Drosophila melanogaster: one gene and its partners. The protein of the gene in region 1 interacts with the protein of each later gene in a pairwise test. Each region holds a gene or a part of one and is shown in the gene's direction. Other genes may lie near its edges. The genes, in order: Spase25, CG15083, CG8668 and Peritrophin-15a.

Region 1 (3,709 bases):
CTGAAGACGGAGCTGGAGACGGAGCCGAAATCCAGTGGCGGCGTCGCTAGCAACAGCCGCCTGGCACGCGATCGCATCGATCGCATGTCCGCCGAGGTGGTGGACTCCAATCCGTACAGCCGCCTGATGGCCCTGCAGCGGATGAACATCGTCAAGGACTACGAGCGCATTCGCTACAAGGCGGTGGCCATTGTGGGCGTGGGCGGCGTGGGAAGCGTCACCGCCGACATGCTTACACGGTGCGTGCACAACAAGAAGAGAAGGGCAACAGTCATTGTGCACCACAGCTAGCACTCCAAATATGTTGTCTTTAATTAAAGGCTATGTATTAATCAATTGATTTCCTGCAGCTGCGGCATTGGCAAACTGATACTCTTCGACTACGACAAAGTGGAGCTGGCCAACATGAACAGACTGTTCTTTACGCCCGATCAGGCGGGCCTCTCCAAAGTTGCGGCCGCCGCCGCTACCCTGAGCTTTATCAATCCGGACGTGGAGATTGAGACGCACAACTACAATATTACAACGGTGGAGAACTTTGATCGCTTCCTGGACACAATATCGCAGGGCGGACGGATAGCTGGCCAGCCGGTGGATCTGGTGCTCAGCTGTGTGGACAATTTTGAGGCACGAATGGCAATCAATGCAGCGTGCAATGAACGCAATCTCAACTGGTTTGAGTCGGGAGTTTCGGAAAATGCCGTCTCGGGGCACATTCAGTTTATCCGTCCTGGCGATACCGCCTGTTTCGCTTGTGCACCACCCTTGGTGGTGGCCGAGAACATCGACGAGAAGACGCTGAAGAGAGAGGGCGTGTGCGCCGCTTCATTGCCCACAACTATGGGCATTACGGCTGGCTTCCTTGTCCAGAACGCATTAAAGTATCTGCTGAATTTCGGCGAGGTCTCTGACTATCTGGGCTACAATGCCCTTAGCGACTTCTTTCCCAAGATGACGCTCAAACCGAATCCGCAGTGCGATGACAGAAACTGTTTAGTTCGGCAAAAAGAGTTCCAAGCCAGGCCCAAACCTGTGCTGATCGAAGAGAAGGCAGTCAGCGAAGAGCCGCTGCATGCCACCAACGAATGGGGCATCGAACTGGTCGCCGAGGATGCGCCAGAAAGTAATACAACGCCCGCCGAAACCCCAGTGATGGGTGAAGGGCTGAGGCTCGCCTACGAGGCTCCTGAGAAGTCCAGCGAAACGTCAGAGGAAACTGTATCTGCAGCTACCGCGGACGAAACCAGTCTGGAAGACCTGATGGCGCAAATGAAGTCCATGTAAATTGATTCCGTACTCCGTATTTATAGACACTTTTTGTAAAACACACACTTTTTTTTTGATAAACTCAGCTTCGATTTGTGTAAAACTTGGGCCGAGCCATTTTTTATTTATTTATATATAGTAACTTTTAGTCACTTGATTAAATGCTTTATGCTCAAAATTATTTGAATTACGCGGGAAATTTCAATTCTTGCAGTTTCTAGTATTTCAGTATTTTAAGCTTCCCCTATCTGGCAGCACGGTCAACTAGTCCGTTATCGATTGGCAGCGATAACGATTGACAATTTTGTTGTCGCGTTGTCACACAAAAACGAAGAAAACTCCTGAAAAAAGAAAAAAGAGTTTTTCTGAGCATTTCGCAAACTTCTCTTGGAAATCAAGGGCATCAAAACACAATAGAGAGCAGATAGAAGATGGGCAAGAAGGATGAAAAGTCACAGCAAGGCGAGGAGGTGAGTAAACCGGTTGCCGGCTTGGCATTTGGTCCATTAAGATGTGTTCCACGTCATTGTAGAATGTAAATGTAAACTAAGTGAATATGTGCATAAACTAACTCCATCCTGTTTCATGTGCCCTGCCAGCTGGTGAAGGTCAACAAGTGGGATGGATCCGCAGTGAAGCACGCCCTCGATGATGCAGTGAAAACCTGCCTCCTTGGCGATCGTCCCCAGCTGAAGGAGCAATTCGGCCTGGTCAACACCCGTTTGGCCCTCTGCGCCCTCGCCGTTTCCGTGGCTATAATGGCCCATGCTTGGGACTTCACCCACCCCTTCCCGGAATCCCGTCCAGTGCTCCTCTTCAGTGTTTTGGCCTACTTTGCACTCCTCGGCATTCTGACCCTGCACTCCAGTTTCCGCGAGAAGGGCACCTTTGCGGTGGCCCTGCAGAAGGACAAGGAGCGGGAGCGCCTGTGGGAGGCCAGCTCCGATATGCGCAAGTACGACGACAAGTACCTGCTGACCCTCAGTGTTCGCGACACGAAAAATGGCAAGCGGCGCGAGCAGAGCAGCAACAAGTCGTGCGCCGCCTTCATCGATCAGAATGGCATCGTCCTGGACAACCTGGTGGCCAACGAGGTCAACCGTCTGTTCAACGCCTTAGCTGCCGACAAGAAGAACGCTAGCAGCCTTTCTTCTAATTAAACCAAATTCCCCACTTTTGTCTCATTAAATTGTACACTTTTGTGGTAAGCCGACTGTTTGTCTTTTGTAATAAGCGGAAAAACTATAATATAAAATGAATTCTTTGATTTACAGCTTAACATAAATTGTCTGAATCTGATAGAAACTTAACCAATGATTTGTGGACTATTTTATTATAATTTCATGGGTTCAGCTGCAAAAATCTAAAAGTTAAGAGGGCGGGGATTCCGGTGGCGGCAGAGGAAGAGGAGAGGGTGCCCAAACTGGAACTGGCGGCGATGGGGAAACCCATATTGCGCTGATAAGGCCATTGATATTAATTCCATATTTAACCTGGCTGCCTTCCCAGAAGTTAAACATCAAAATTGGGAGTTGTCGATGTCAAAACGTTTATATATATATATCAATGTTTTTATATTCCAAAAGCTCATATTTGTGACATACTAAAGATTTTGGCTACAAGAGAGTAATGTACGTAATGTAAAGTCTATATGTACGACTAACTCATGTGTTTTTAAAAGATTATTCTATTTGTTATTATATTTATTCACAATGTGGAGATGTCCCAATCCAAGTGTACCCAGAAATCCGAGTGTTTTTGACCTTCTTCCTGCGGCGCTCCGGCTTCCTTTGTCATCATCATCTTTTTATTTTTTCAGATATCTGTATGGGGCACTACGGTTCCTTTTCCCATTTCCCATTACCATCTTCTCTTTAATTTCTACATATTTCTTATGTCTTTCCAAAGCCTCAATTTCTGACATCTTCTGGGCCATTTTCTTTTTCATAATCATCTGCTTTTCTAACACCTTTGCTGCCATTGTATCCTTGGCCGTCTTTAGAGCCTCCAATTTTCCCTTAGCAATCTTTAGTGTCTTCCCGCATTGCCGGTCCTTCGACTTCTTTTTTTGCACTTTCCCCTTGGCCATCTTCGGCTTTTGCAAGTTTAGCTTTTCCTCTTTCTTATTTTTCTCAAGGACTTGCTTTGATGTCTTTCGCCATTCATCAATTTTCTCCTTTTCCATTTCCTTCCTTTCCATCTCCTCTACCATGTCCAGCTGCTCCTGCGTCTCCAGCAGCTCCTTCACCACTTTGCTCTCATCTTCCTGTGGCGACACTTCGGCTAGGGTAGGGTTAGCCACCTCTGCTTTGGTTTTCTTTTTCTCTAAAAACTTACGAGCCCATTCCTTTCCTCCATAAGGATAGTCATTATCCTTTTTATCTGCCAGAACAGGAGCCCATGGCTTCGGCGTGGTAGGACCGACAGCCTCGGTGTGGGCACG
Region 2 (4,262 bases), on another chromosome or scaffold:
GAGCAGCAGAATGGCCCATCAATAGTTACCTAAGTAGCTGCAACGAATGCCGCCCCAAGATTCGATTTAATTTATGCCCTCTGTGTGTGTAGAAATATATGTTTGAAAGCCTATCACAGTGTGTTAAGTTTTAAGGAATGGTATGTATTAACATTTTCGAATTACAAACAAATAATAGTAGCATCTCCAAACATTACAACAAGAAGCGTAAACCAAGCCCCTAAATAATTTTCCATTTGATTATTTATATAAAAAATATATATTTTTTTTTTTGCAGCCAATCGAAAAATCTTGTATTGGCCATTTCGTTTGGATATACGTATAGACACAATCGCGTTAATGTAAATATATATGATGTACACACAGATTTTCATTCTCTGATGCATGAAATACAACGTAGTATATAATTTTGGTGCTACTAGCTAGAAAAATATTGGGTTTATCGGGGAAGCCCCATTGGAAACATTCGAAAAGGGATATGATGAAATAAGAGCTGGCCAAACGGGAAGCTACACTGGAGCTTAAATCTTGGTGTAGCTGGGATAGGAGTTGGTCTGCTGGGTCGGCTGTGGGATCAGCGGGCGCTGGATCTCACGGGATGCCTGGATCTGCTTGAAGAGCGAGTAGATGCCGTAGTAGAGATACCAGGTCAGCACTGAAAACGAGCGAATGGAGAAAAATAAGCATCGTGCCCAAGCGCAATTATAGAACGATCGCAGACCGTCGAGCGATAAGCGCAATGGGGATCCACAATTTCGCAACAACGGCCAGTGTGTATTGTGTATACCCATTTCCAGATAGAGCTTATGTATGTATGAAGTGGTGAGTCACTTACAGAGCAGGCCAACATCCACGAAAATGATTGGAAGAGCGCTCAGGAAAGATGTATTTCCGATGATCTGGGCCAGCATTGCAATATTGGTGATAATTCCAAAGACAAGCAGCACTCCATTGTTGATCAGCCAGGGCAGCAGGAGTAAATGGCGTTCCTGAAAGGCAAACGCTATTAGAACCATCTCTATCTCTAGTTAGTATGGTGTATGTACATATGTATTTGCAAAGAAACTTGCCGGTTTTTTTTACAGAATAGTGGGCTTTTAAAAAGGTCTAACTCTAGATATGTACTATAGTAGACACATATATACGCGATTGTACAGATTGCATATTGATACTAGACTTACCTTAACGGTACCTGCAACCAACATGGCCGAAGCCAGAAGATTAATCACCTTGAGCGCCAGGTAAACACTGAAAACGATGATTAGCACTGCAATAACCGCAAGAACAATGAAATACAATAAAAAATATACGATTGGTTGTGGGTGCACTCGATGGTTAGCCCTTACCACTGCGAATCTCGGTGGCCGTCTTGTTAGAATCTTCCGATCCCTTGGCGATCTGCTGCGCAATTTCATCGACGAATCCGAGGGCCAAGGACAAGAGGATCGTGGCCAAGAAGGATAGAATCACGCCCAGCCATCCAATGACCACACCATAGGTGTTCAGGCGCATACAGAAGACCCTGGACAGCATTCTGGATTCACTTGATTTCGTGCTAATGCGAAGATAAAGACAATTTTACTTCAGTTCGCCGGCGCAGCAAAATTGCAATTGCTTGATAAGTCGCAATTGGCTGACAATTAAAAGCTTTTGGGTACAGCGGCGTTGCCAGACTGGTTCAAGCAGTTGGTGTCGAAACTGTGACTTGTTCACCAGCTTTTAATGTGACTTTTTAACGCTAATTGTTTAAAATTCTTTTAATAACATTTTTATATTTTAAATATTTTTATGCATTTATTATTTGGCATGATAGTTAAAAAATATTTATTTATGTATTCATTAACACTGCACAGCAGCGGCTTACTTTCATAATATTTTTCAAGGTGCTAATAGTAGCTACATTACATATATAATACAGCATTAAATCTCTCTATTATTTTAAAGACAATTCCCCATTTTATTCATTTCACTCTTAAATGACGAAACATATGCAAACAAATTCATATAGTAAATGAGTGCACATATATTTTTTAAGAACATATCAGACGTAGTTTTTCCACGCTCGAAAAAAAAGTATTTTCGTGTTGCATAGTTTACGCAACCGTTTCTTCTGAGCGGCATCGGCATTTGCGCCACACTTATTATTTGATTCTTGCCCAGTGCGGTTGTGTTTCCGTGCGCTAGGTGTTCCCAAACCGGTTTAAGTGCCATACTAGCCATATTTGTATTTGGAAAATTCGCTGTAAACCACAGAGTTTCAAAATGAAAATCGATCTGACGGTGGAAAATGGCCCGTGCAATACCGATTTGCGGAGCTGGTGCCTGGGAATCGCGATCTATTGGCTATTGAGCATGACTTTCAACGTTATATTCGCTCCAAACGGTAGGAGAAATGCGAGAGGCGTGGCATTTGTTTATTTTCAGAAGCTGATTGCCCAGACTGACGCTATTTCCATAGAGAGACAATACATTCATGATGTTCACATGCGAAATAAACGAATGAGCTAATCCATTCGACACAAACGCGTTCCAATTCACAACCATTTTGGATACAACACCTCACCATCGATGACGACATCGCCGACAAATTCGAGCTGACAATTCATTTTAGGTGGCCCGAAATGCCATTTTCTCACAGGCTTGAATTTTCCAGCACAAAAAAGAAAATTAAATAATTTCCTTGGGCTGTGCATGGCGCAGAATTAAACTTAAAAGATTATTGGGTTTTAACAGTTGAACGCCATATGTCATAAAAACACTTAAAGCCCTGCATTTGTCCATGTCTCAAAGAAGTTCTATAAACCTTATTCTAAGCTGTTTTAAAAAGTTTGTCATATTTCATGTATGAAATGTGTTTAAAATATAAAAGAAGAATTTATGTTTTAGTTCTTTATGTATATGTACACATGTACATGAAGTGCATCAGTGCATCAATATGTACTCATTATATACGAAGATACATTTAGCAGTCGTGTTCTCAAATTTCAGACGGGAAGAAAGATAAGAGCACAGCAACGTTTTGCTTGGAATACATTGAGTCACTTATAAGCCCAAGTTTATGTTTACTTTCCACTAATTGTAACGGCTTTTTTTATGAATGAAATATGTACGTTCAATAATTTCTATTTAAATTCACTTGAATCCTTGCAGTTCTTACCTTTATTGGATTTGCCATCGTAGTAGTCGCCAATATTTGCTTATTGATAGGAACCCTGAAGGTAAATAAAATACAACCCATTCCGTTTTATTGAGTCAACGAAACCCAATCTACCTTTCCGAATTGCAGGAAAAGCCAATTCTGGTGTTCGTCTGGCTGATCTTCGCTGCCATTGAAGCCATCTCCTTTCCGTTTGCCGTCTTCGGGGTTATCTTCCACTACGGAGGATATCGCGAGGCTACCGGAATGAACAACGTTTTCGGTGCCCTGCTCGTTTACATCATCACATTTCGTAAGTATCGGCTATGAACATCAAATTGAGTTAACAAAAATGTACAGATCATACATATTCTCCGCTACACTTTCAGTATTGATCCTCTTCAGCGCACGAATTGTGTACTCCTTCTACCTCCAGCTGAAAAACAGCGAAGCCAGCAAACAAACACCGCGCGCCATGAATGTGGTTTAGTCCTTATCATTCTACACTACATAAATTGTCGGGGAAGAGCCCACCGTTCGTTCATCTCAGTGTTTGCAATAAAATGCTTTGTTTTTTATTTGATTGCAGTTTGTCGTTAACGCACATCTCTTACTCACATCGACTTGGGATCAACTATCAACAGTTAAATACATTGGTTACATACATATACATACAGGGTGCTATTGGCTATTGGGCTACCGCGTTCTTAAACATTCAACATTTAAAACGATCGATCACACTACGGACAATTATATACTCTCGACACAGTTCTCTATCTATATAGCTAGCTATCATACTCGGCATCGTCTTCTGCTCCAATCTGCTTACTTAGACATAAAATGGAAAGTTGGTCATCTTATTGTTGCTGCTGTTATTGATGTTTTGCGACTGCGTAAAGCTCGTCTCGGCATTTTGGGTAGTTAGCTTAGCCTGCACGGCCGCCAGTATTCGCACAGCCTGGCCAGTACTGCCCGACTCCATGGCAGACTCCATACCTAGGTTCAGGTTCAGCTTGAGCTCGAAGTGTGACCCACTCGCTTGGATCTGCGACTGCGTCTGCCGTTGGGCAACAGCCGGTTTTCATCTCGGCGTGGTTATGCTGGGCAGCTTTTCCAGAAAATCATT
Region 3 (7,937 bases), on another chromosome or scaffold:
ACTCGTACAACAATCTCACTCTGAAGACCATTTCTCTGCTGGAATGGGCTGATCTTCACTGTCCGAAGGCTAAGTACGTTCTCAAGACGGACGATGACATGTTCATCAACGTGCCGAAGTTATTGACCCTCATTAGCACGCTTAAAGCCAATAGAACGATCTACGGACGACGGGCCGAAAATTGGAAACCCATTCGAAACAGGTGGTCTAAATATCACATATCCAACGCTCAGTATGGAAAGCCTACCTTTCCCTACTTCACCACCGGACCCGCCTACTTGCTCACTGGTGACATTGTTCACGCTCTGTATGTCCAATCCCTGAATACTGCATTCTTAAAGCTGGAAGATGTCTTCACCACGGGCATTGTGGCTGAAAGTCTGAACATCCGGCGGGTAAATGTGCGCGAGATGGCTAACACCCGGACGAAATTCGAGACGTGCCACATCCGCGACAAAATTACCATCCATATGGTAAGGAATAACGAGCAGTTTACCTTGTGGAATATGTTATTAGACGACACCATAAAGTGTGATAACCAGGTATAAAGAAAATGAAAATTATTTAACAATTTTTTACAAACAAATAGTTATATACGCTCAACAAAATAAAAAAGGAAAATCAAGAATTTAGAGCGCACTGGTTGGCTGGTACACATAGAACTCTTCATCCGCAGACTTGCTGACCCGCAGCTTTCCCTCCTTCTCCAGCTTGCTTAGGTGGTGGTTCACGTTATAGGCGGCGGCGGGCCAGAGGTTTTCTGGTGTCTCCTTGTAGACCACCTTCACGACGTCCATAGCCTGCAAGTTTTCGTTGGGCCGCTGAACGAAGAACTGCAGGATTTGCTGTTCTCGCTGGTTGCGATGGTTAATGTAGTACTCAATCTTGCCAATTGGTTCCTCAATGACATTGCCATGGCCTGGAAAGATACGCTGCGGCTTGATGTCTAGTATCTTCTCCAGGCTTTTCATGTACTCAAATAGGTCCTCGAAGACGGCGGTGCCCTCGCCAAGGATGCAATCGCCGCTGAAGAGTGTGCCCTCGTTCATGGCCAGCACCACATGATCAGTGGTGTGACCGGGTGTGTGAACCACCCGCACATTCGCCCCCTCCGTGGTGAACTCTTGGTTGTGTGCTAGCGGATGGAGTTTGATATCCGTCGGTATCTCGGGGCACACATCTGGAGCATCTGTACGCCCAAACTTGAATACGCGGCAATCCTTTTCGGCCAATTTAGTACCCACAATGCTCTTTACACCGCCGACATGGTCGTGGTGCCAGTGGGTCAGCAGGATGGTGTCGATGGAGGCCTTTTCCTGCTGTAGCACATCTCCCAGGTGAGCGATGTACTGCGGCACGTCTTCGTCACCAGTGTCGATCAAGATTCTCCTACTGCCACTGCCGAGGAGGTACGTATTGGTGCCCTGGAGCGTCATGGCACTGGGATTACAACCCAGTATCCGAATTACGGAGGAGGTGAGTCTGGTAACAGCCGGAATCAGCGCCATCTCTTCGTTCACTAAATCTGAGAAAGCGATAAGTATTCCGATTACTATGCACAATGAAGTTTGCGTTATAGTTACATAAATTAAGGAGGGAAATGAAACACTTAAGGAAAATAATATTAGGGTCCAATTTTTTCGGGGTTTTAATGAACTTTGGTCCTATCAAGAAAGGCGCTATTATATTGCTGCAAATTAAACAGCTGTTGGTCTACAGTGCTGTTAACCGTCATAGGGTGACCATAACATATGCATTTTAGCACAGTTATCGACTTATCGAAAGTAAAAACATAAATTTTTAACTTATCGATGTTGCTTTACATCACTAATGTTGAGCTAATCGCGAACAAAATCGGTTTGGTTTTCGGAAGTGGGAGTAATGGTGTTCCCACAAAAAAAGAGGAAAAAATTAGAATATTTGCGTCCGCTGTAACGCAGCCAATTGTGCAAAGCCCTAAAAGTGTTAAAAAGCCGCGTTTCATCAGCAGGCTGCAATCGAAAAACCTCCAAAAAAATCGAGGGCAACGCGAAATTAAATCAAAAACTGCTTCGCAGCAACAACAACAAATCGCTTCGTTTGCCAAGGTGTTAATGCTTATTTATTTATAAAACATGCCCCGCATGACTAATGAAACGGGCTGGCGTTATTAAAATCGATTAATGCCGAAATACGCGCAAAACTATAACCAGAAAGAAAAAATTCCCCAAGCCACACGATTTCCGTGGTGGCGCCTGGGGCCCAGCAACAGCAACAACAACACAAATTAGGATAACAGAAGAGTAACCACAACAACAACAACGATAGCAATTCATCATCGCTAATTGTCAACAAAAGGCATATTTATTAACGTTAAATAAGCACTAAAAATAAGCAGGCAAGCAAGTAATTATGCTTGACCCTGGTCCAACAATAGCACCATCTCAGATTCCAGCGAACGAGGAAGGGAGACGCAGCTAAACCGCACTGGGAGGTAAGTTTATAATGAGTGAGTCTGACTGCCCGGAGATTCCAAGATTTCGGATGGACAACGAGACTCGGCGACGCAACGATGACGATGCGTCGTTGCCTAGGGTTTTTGTTTTGTTGTTTTTTTTTTTCTGTTATTTTATTAACACACATTTACGTCTGCTTAAGCAACCGACGAGCGCACATTTCCAAACTCCACGGCCGGACATTGCACCACCAGTTAGCCCAAGTCAAGTGGAGGTTTCATTAACGCCACCTAACCTCCACGTCGATGTGGCGTTCCTCGTATCACTGGCTTGGACTGCAATAATGCTCGATTTCTGAACAAATGTACGCAAGAAATCAAATTATTACCCTCTCATTAGCGTTAATTTCTCGAAGTTCTACAATATTCTGTAGAGTACCAGAAATGCGTTCCCACAACTTTCTTATCAACGAATAGAATACCAAGGCAAGATTTAGAATTTGTAGGCTAAGACGTTTCCGCTTTCTCGTTAGTTCCTTAGTAAGTTTAGCTTCTTGAGAGCACAACAAAAATGAGTTTGAAGAGTCATTTTTATTTCCCTACTTCAATTTGCATTTAAAATGATTTGCGGGAAAGTTAAATGTCAAATGATCTTTGCTTCTACTTGTTTCAATGCAACGCACATCTATGTGATTAAGCTTTTTGTGAACTCGGTGTTTTAAAAACAAATGAAACGGCGCTGTTAACTGCCAACTGGTAGGAATACAGATTTTAGTTGAAATTTATAGGTACTTCGTTGCAATTTCTTTTGAAGACTTTCATTAGCACGATCCGGAGTCCAGCTGAATCTTCCTGGTCGAAACTGTGATTGATAGTGGGCCGTTGGAGATGAAGATAGTTTCAAGACGCCCGAAAACCCGTTTGCCGTCCAACCGGCGATTATCTGCGGTTCATTGTACTTATTAGCAGAGTCGGAGTGGGGCCACGAAAAAAAAAAAAATATAACCGACCGCCAGCCGGATTGGAAGCTTGGATCCACTTCCGTTCACCACTCCCCTCGCGAAGCCTCCAACTTTTTCCGCTGAATCCGAGTTACACTTCATCAAATTACGCGCTCTCGTCAAATTTCACGGCTCTTTGGTAATTTTGCACACAATTACAAGGCACTAAAAGCAACTGCTAAAACATGTGGAACAATTACAGTCAAAGTTCTTTAAATTGAACAATTATATGCCTAGTGAGTTATGGGAACTGGTTAGAAATCCATGGAGAACATTAAATTTATTACTGTTTATAGATTTAATTATGAAGAGAAACCAAAGTTTGGGCTGATAAAAAGTTTATTTTTTTTATATGACTTGCTAGAATAGAACCTTTAGTTCATAGCATATTCAACATGTATGTTTAATGTTTATATCCCGCAAGGGAAATGAAAGTCTGATAAGAAACGGGTCGCGATTATTACAGAAATTCAAAGTAAAATGCACATATACTAAACGATTTATAAACTGTAATTAACCAATGCATAGAGAGTGATTCATCGTCTCATCGCACAAGATAAGTCACACTTTCACTCTTGATGGAAAAACAAAGGGTTATCTCTTATCAATGCGCTGCACGTCACGCTGCGGATCTAAATGGAAATAGAATTTCGCTGTACTATGTGTGCGTCCGTCCGTTCAGCTTCACGATAAGCCATAAAAACACGATACGACATTGTCGGATTTAGCCCCCCAAAAAAAATTCCATTGTGCTCGTACTCGTGGCTATTCTTTCCGGTTCCCGGCAGACAGTTGACCAAACCAGACCACATCGATGAAGTTGATCAGCCCATTTGACTGATAAAATATTTCGCGAAGCTATTTTAATTAAATGTCACTGTGTGGATATCAGTATAGCATTATCGCAATAAAGAAATAATAAATGTTGTGGAACAGTAAATTTGTAGTGATTATAATTAATTGATAAGCTAAAATTCTTAGAAGTTAGCCATTGTCTTATCAGCTTGCGTTTAACTTGCCTGACCAAGTGACCAATAATGAAAATGCTTGTGTTGCATTTAATAAAAGATATAAATTGCATCTTTTTAAAGGTTCTCATTCTATCGAAAGAAAAAGAAGCAGACACAACTTTTAATTCGATTGGGTTTTACCTTGTCGAATTGCGACTTAAGGTGTTCCTTCACCTCTGCAAAGCAGATAAGATAAGTTTCAAAAACTTGTTAAATGGTTTCAAAACGATTTTTAATCATAGGTAAAAGGTAGCAAGTAAGATAAGTGATGTTTTGGCAAAAATGTTTCAATCGTCATTTCCTGACAGTTATTTGATATCTAGGCACGTGTAAACAAATAAAGAAACTATGATAAAATCCGCATTAAACTCAAATCAAGCTCAAAAACATATTTTTGGCTTTAAGAAAATAATTAATTAGCCAACAAACATTCTGTGCAAATAAATAAACATCTTTAGTATGAGGTATTTGAGTAAGATATATGACTTACCATTCTCCGCTAGACAACCAGATAAGATTTGTGTTATAAGATTGATACGAACTGGCTTATCGACAAACAATTAAGGTAGCACAGTTACCCAGAGTGACGCACTTGGGGATTTTCATTGACTATTCAAGACGGTTCGGGGCCAAATCGAAAGTTGGTAAAAGAGTTACGAGGTTCTGAGTCCTGCTGTTTTATTGATTTTTATATCGAGCTGTCGCAAACTACTACCATTATTTTTATGGCGTCCTAGAGAAATGCCCAATAAATCTATAGATATACATATAAAGACTACTGGAATTCTGAGAAAGCCCTGAAATACCCAGATGGGATCGAACGATAAGAAATCTTATCGACCAGGCGGCCATGGAACGCGACTCAAGTGGTTCGTTCGCTGCCACCTGGAGCATGGAGCATGAGTCTGTCCGGTGCTTTGAGCTCTGTTCTGCCTCCGTTGGGGTTCTCTTGAGTCGCGGAATAGGGTCAAGACTGTTGTTGACTTGTTCGAGCGCATGCAAAGTGGAGACAGAGCCGATGGCGATGTCGTGACGATTCTGGATGCTGTGCGTGTGTTCTCCTTTTTCTGGCAAATTCATTAGCCCACGGAAACTTCCCAAATGCTTTTCAGTTCGTCACTCCCATTACCATGCAAAACAGCCAAGCCCTTCGCTCGTGTTTTCCGAAATAAAATAGCACATTCACACAGTTCAAAACTAAGCATCGACTTTACTATATTTTTGAAAAATATTGTGCAAAAAAAAAAATGAAACAAAACGTTAATTACGTTTAAGTGTTCTTTTGTAAACGTTTCTTAAAGTACATAAGACGCTATCTTTATTTTTGTAGTGAACTCCAACTAGCTCACTCTCTACACAAATATTTGCATTATTCCTCGCCAATGGTAAGAAAAGCAACAAAACTGAGTCTTTGGCCATACTCGACTTTGAAATACCATTCTATATTGGATAAGAAAATATTTACGATTTAATTATACACTTAAATGTTTTGAACGAATTTTTATTGCCATTATTATTGTCGTTTTATTATTGCGGAAATAATGATCTAATCGCTGGACAGAAGTGCGCCCTCTCTCCTTCTATATCTTATAGCGCCGGGCATCGGAGCACATAACAAATCAGCTGAATCAGTTATTTACCTTTATTTCCGTTGCGTTCTCATTGCAGTTCCATCGCATTCGTTGTCGGAATCGCAAGCGTGAGGGATCGTTATCATAATACTCACAAATTGAAGACGAGAAGCGGAGTCCAGACTGAAACTGAGACCTAGACTGACTGAGATTTGAGAGATTTTGCAAGTGCCACCATGGCGGCTATGGCCAATCTTCACAACACGCGCATGCTACGCTTCTTTTTAGTCCTAATCGTGGTGATCCTAACCATTTTCATCTACGCCTCGTACTCAACGACTAGCACCCTCACAGCGAACCATGTGCACCCTGCGGCATCACCGCCACAGCAGCTGATTGGCAGTCATCCTGGGCGACAGCCCATGGACCAAGTGCCGCCAGTCAATAGCACGGATAAGGAGTACAATTCGCCACCTGGTGAAAGTTCGTCTAAGCAGCAAAGCGTATCCAGCAGACACTCGCAACAATTACCGCCGCAACAGGCAGAGATACACAAGAGGCATCCGCAGCACCGCCTGCCCACCATCGACGAGGATGCTCTGCTCGACGGTGGCTCCGCGGGCGCCAGTCCCCAGGTTGGTGGCCCTGACCAAACGCCCAATGTTATGGCGGATGAGCTGCTGGAGGAGCAGCAGTATGGTCAGAGTGTTGATGGCATCACAGGTGAGAGTGGGTGCGCTTAAGACTTAGACGCTAATTAAGCTAATAATGTTTATTCCACAGGCAACATCAACAGTAGCACCAACAACAACAGCTCTGCCGACACGTTGGCTGTTAAACAATCGATTCCCGCCCAGTCACCACAACAACAACTGCCCCAGTCACAGTCGCAGGTGCAGCCAGGCCTTTCCGATGCCGACCTCCTCATACCCACTTCCAATTTGCAAAAGTTTATTGAGAACGCCGATAGGATACTGAAGAACATCACTTCGAACAGTAGCACGGGTAATTATTATACTATTACTTAGGGGGCGCTAGACCTTTGAGACCTATTAATCCAGGTTTCAAATTGTTAAACCAGATCGATAAACAGTTTAGTTGCTCCTTCAAATTGATCCTCTTTCTGTTTCATCTTGCGTAATAATTTGCCTTAGTTTTGTTTTGCTTAGACAAAGACCCGCTGGCGGCGCACCCATTTGTATAACTCCACGACAATGGAGAATGAAATGTGCAGTCCGCTTATTTGACCAGGTTTCGTGTTTCATTATGAAAGAGCTGTAAACATGACATATTGTTTCATACTATTGGATTACTGTCGAACAGATGTCTATGGGGACGGACTAGAATTCGCTTGAGTGTTTGTTTGCATTTCAATTAATGGTGTGGTTTATCTTTCTAAATAAAGGCAATCCATCGGATATGGCACAACTCAACGCAGTGGACGGTAAACTGGAAGTCTCGGGCGTTGAGTCCGAAAAGCAGGAACCGGAATCCAAGGTGATACAGGAAATTAAGGAGGCCAAGAAAGAGGCGGCAGTCCCTCTGCCAAAATCCGCAAAACCACCAGTGCCACCTGTGAAAACGACGAAGAGCAAGGTGCCAAGTGCTCCTGTAGATCCCTCCAAGGGAGTGGCCACCGAGACACTCTACGAGCCAGGCCACGTGGATGAGGAGATCGATGCGGAGCGCATATGTCCGAAAGGCGGAGAGTTTATTAAGCTCCTGGTTCTTATTAGCTCAGCGATGTCTCACGATGCAGCCCGCATGTCCATCCGGCAGACTTGGATGCATTACGGGACGAGAAGGGACGTGGGCATGGCATTTGTCCTAGGACGTGGCACCAATGAAACCATAAACAAAGCGCTTACCCAGGAGAACTTCATCTATGGAGATCTGATACGGGGAAACTTCATAGACTCGT
Region 4 (2,994 bases), on another chromosome or scaffold:
GTCACAGAAAAAGTCAAAGAACTTTGCCGCAATAAACAACACTTTGATTTCCCAAAAGGGGGTTAAAATATATGCATTATAGAATTATTTACTTGATTCCAAAGGATTCGCAACTATTAAAGCTTCAACGCAGTTTATTTATGGTCATGTGGAAGATAATTTATATTCTGATCTAGGGTACTTCGGTGAAGATCATTTCATTGCTACGCTTGGCTATGTCCAATGGAGTTTCCCAGGTTTGGCGAGGAACCAGAATCGAGTCTTAATCTCTCCGAGGACATATGATTACTGAGGGTGTTTTCAGATTCGACGGAGTATGTTGGTGTTGGTCTAGGCGTTTTCGGATATTCGACGCGAAGACGACCATCGGAGAGTACAGATGGAAGCCTACGTTGGTCATCTAGCTCATCTGGTGGCCCTTTAGCAATGGAAGGATCAGACGAGGTCCTCTCCATCATGCGGACTGCTTCCGTAAAGCTAGCTTTGGGCCTGCGCATATGTGGTTGGTGGTCGGGACTTTCTGCTACTGCTTCTGAATGTGGACTCAAGCCTGTTGTTTGATTCTGCTCCCCCAATTGGGTTAATAGTTTCAATATTACATTTGTCGGATCTGAGGGTCCTGCTGGCTGGGATCTCTGGGCTGCCTCCACGGCTGCAGTGACCATTGCGCGTCCCAATGTTTCGTAAATCGTCCTTATATTTCCCACATCTGGCTGGTCAATGGTGTTAGTACATTGATCCCGATGTCCAGGAGTTGCCTTCTCTAATTTGACAAACTCTTTCTGCGCTACGTGGACTCTTAGAGGTTCCTCCGGGTTCAATGACTTGGCATGGCCACAGCAAGGACACTCCGTCGCCATCCTTGATCCTTGCTCATTGTTAAACCTCGGAGGTGGTATGTAGATGGGCATAATACGGTCTTCTGGTCGAAGAACATAGTACACCGGTGGAGGTTGGTTTATGCTGCGGGAGAAATGACGAAACTGGCTTTGCGAATTCTTCCGCTTGGGTGTCGCATATTCCTCGGGTCGGATTCTTAAATTCCTTCGAGGAGGAGGGACATCCGTTGGAGGTCTTACATTCGGGGCAATGGAGACCGATCGACAAGGTCGCTCTGTCGATGTTCTGGAATTGGGGAACAAGGGTATCGTCTGCACCGAAATGGGCATGGCCTGCATCTGTCCACAGGAACTGGGCTGTTGGGACACCAGCTGGATCATAATGGTGTTCGGTGGACCTGTGCCGCTGGTGACCCTCGACTCCATCGCTATGGGAGATTTATCACGAGCAATTTGTAATCATTAATATCGCAAATAATTAGTTGTGTGACACCTACTGCGATTTAATGTTATATTTTGGAGTTTTATATTTCGATATGTATGGTATACGGTATAGCGGATGGGTTGATTAAAAACCAGGTTAGTAGTGCGGTAGTGCTATCACCAACAGTTAAGGGTAGTATATTAATATAAATATAAATGCGTAATTCTAATGACTTGTTTGCGTTAAGAATGTGGGGTTCCCCACGGTTAAGTATTAGGTATTTGAATAGAAGCCCCCAAATTTAAATTTCGATTATAAACCTTACTGTCCTAGTTTTGTACTATATTTAACTTATTGATAGGAGTGCTACCCAGTTTGGATTGTGGCACGCGGCATGACCTTTACGACACATCCATATAATCAAACTATTGCGTCAACAAAACTTAGGGGCGCGTACAATGCGCTGAGATACAGATACAGATACGGTGGGCGATACAAGGTGCGATTATTTTGAAACGATTTCATGTCGCTGCCAAAATAGAATTTCGCACAGGCTTCCCGCCAACGGAGATAACTGCTATTGATGAAAGCCAATATCAGTGCCGGTCTGGGGTATATAAGCTTGCGAATTCGCCCAGTTAAAGCACACTTACGAAACCAGTGGGAACTCAATTGCACCATGAAGTCCGGTAAGTTAGCTGAGCAAATCGAAAAGGAATCCCCATTTGAAATATACTTCAACCCTTTGCCGATCCCATAGCACTACTTTTGATCTGCCTTGCCTTCTTCGTGGCGCTCCTAAGCACCGGAAATGCGTGCGATCCCAATTCTGACAACCAGCCCGACTGCAGCGACGCATCCAACGTGCAAACGAACATCCGCAACTTCTGGGATCCCACTCGCTACTGGTGGTGTGAGTCCTCCACCTCCACGGCCACGGCTGTGTTGTGCCCGTTGTCCACTGGATTCGACCCCACAAAGAAGGAGTGCGTTTCATGGAGCGAATGGTCTTGGACTGCTTACTGTTGATTGCATTTTTAATAACAACAAAAATGAAAATATATGGCAAACTAAATGATTACATACATTGTTTGGATTTTTAAAATATCTCATGTTCTTGCGAGTATTCGAAGATATGGGAAAATGTTATAGAGCAACCTAGATTGGTATATAGAATATTTTGTTTCTGCTCAGTCGCTTTCTATAGGATGTTGAGTACAGTTGAGTGTTAACGAGTTTCATTATTATTTGTAAATAACATTTTTGAGATGTTTTTGTCCAAATGATATCTTGGAAACCTATAAAGATTAGACAGTACTCGTATTGCTACTAATTTGCATTTAATGCAATAAAATGTTTATGAACGAGAGAAAAGTAAATTATACTTTATCATATAAAGTATAAACAATATACTTTAATTTTACAAACAACTTTATTTTTTAACTAGAGCTTGGTTTCAAAATTTGTTTGTTTATTTCAAAAACACTGTGTCTCAGTGTGTAAAGTTTTACAGGGTATAAATTGTCTAAATAGGAGCCGGTCAATTCAAACAAATCATATGCAAATTTTTTGTTCAATAATATTTTAATATCATAACTAAGTATACTACAACACTTGGTGAAATATACTTCTTTGTTTGAAAACGAATTGTACGACGGCGTCAAATGTTCGAATTGTCGAGATACAGATACCAATCGTGATCATGAGATTATTTTTAAACGATTTCATGTT

Evidence for each region.
Region 2: the proteins of Spase25 (region 1) and CG15083 interact in a two-hybrid assay, tested with the Drosophila melanogaster proteins (one large-scale study listed by BioGRID).
Region 3: the proteins of Spase25 (region 1) and CG8668 interact in a two-hybrid assay, tested with the Drosophila melanogaster proteins (one large-scale study listed by BioGRID).
Region 4: the proteins of Spase25 (region 1) and Peritrophin-15a interact in a two-hybrid assay, tested with the Drosophila melanogaster proteins (one large-scale study listed by BioGRID).

Annotation. Positions count from the first base shown.
Region 1 is NC_004354.4:11,483,696-11,487,404, forward strand, and holds Spase25 (spase 25-subunit), read left to right. Parts: upstream 1-1,554; 5' UTR 1,555-1,697; coding exon 1,698-1,736; intron 1,737-1,865; coding exon 1,866-2,426; 3' UTR 2,427-2,871; downstream 2,872-3,709. Other genes in the region: Uba5 (Ubiquitin-like activating enzyme 5), read left to right, coding at 1-239, 351-1,284; CG33235 (uncharacterized protein), read right to left, coding at 3,074-3,709. UniProt on the Drosophila melanogaster protein: Component of the signal peptidase complex (SPC) which catalyzes the cleavage of N-terminal signal sequences from nascent proteins as they are translocated into the lumen of the endoplasmic reticulum.
Region 2 is NT_033778.4:18,833,130-18,837,391, forward strand, and holds CG15083 (uncharacterized protein), read left to right. Parts: upstream 1-2,133; 5' UTR 2,134-2,262; coding exon 2,263-2,383; intron 2,384-3,150; coding exon 3,151-3,218; intron 3,219-3,286; coding exon 3,287-3,449; intron 3,450-3,525; coding exon 3,526-3,626; 3' UTR 3,627-3,713; downstream 3,714-4,262. Other genes in the region: CG15098 (uncharacterized protein), read right to left, coding at 522-655, 836-989, 1,182-1,267, 1,347-1,533; CG15099 (uncharacterized protein), read right to left, coding at 4,218-4,262.
Region 3 is NT_033779.5:8,125,174-8,133,110, forward strand, and holds the start of CG8668 (uncharacterized protein), read left to right. Parts: upstream 1-1,827; 5' UTR 1,828-2,473; exon of another isoform or gene 2,474-2,799; intron 2,800-6,113; 5' UTR 6,114-6,252; coding exon 6,253-6,739; intron 6,740-6,799; coding exon 6,800-7,021; intron 7,022-7,421; coding exon 7,422-7,937. Other genes in the region: CG8673 (uncharacterized protein), read left to right, coding at 1-548; CG12375 (uncharacterized protein), read right to left, coding at 630-1,508.
Region 4 is NT_033779.5:8,395,011-8,398,004, reverse strand, and holds Peritrophin-15a (Peritrophin-15a), read left to right. Parts: upstream 1-1,908; 5' UTR 1,909-1,942; coding exon 1,943-1,952; intron 1,953-2,023; coding exon 2,024-2,292; 3' UTR 2,293-2,340; downstream 2,341-2,994. Other genes in the region: CG13385 (uncharacterized protein), read right to left, coding at 204-1,265.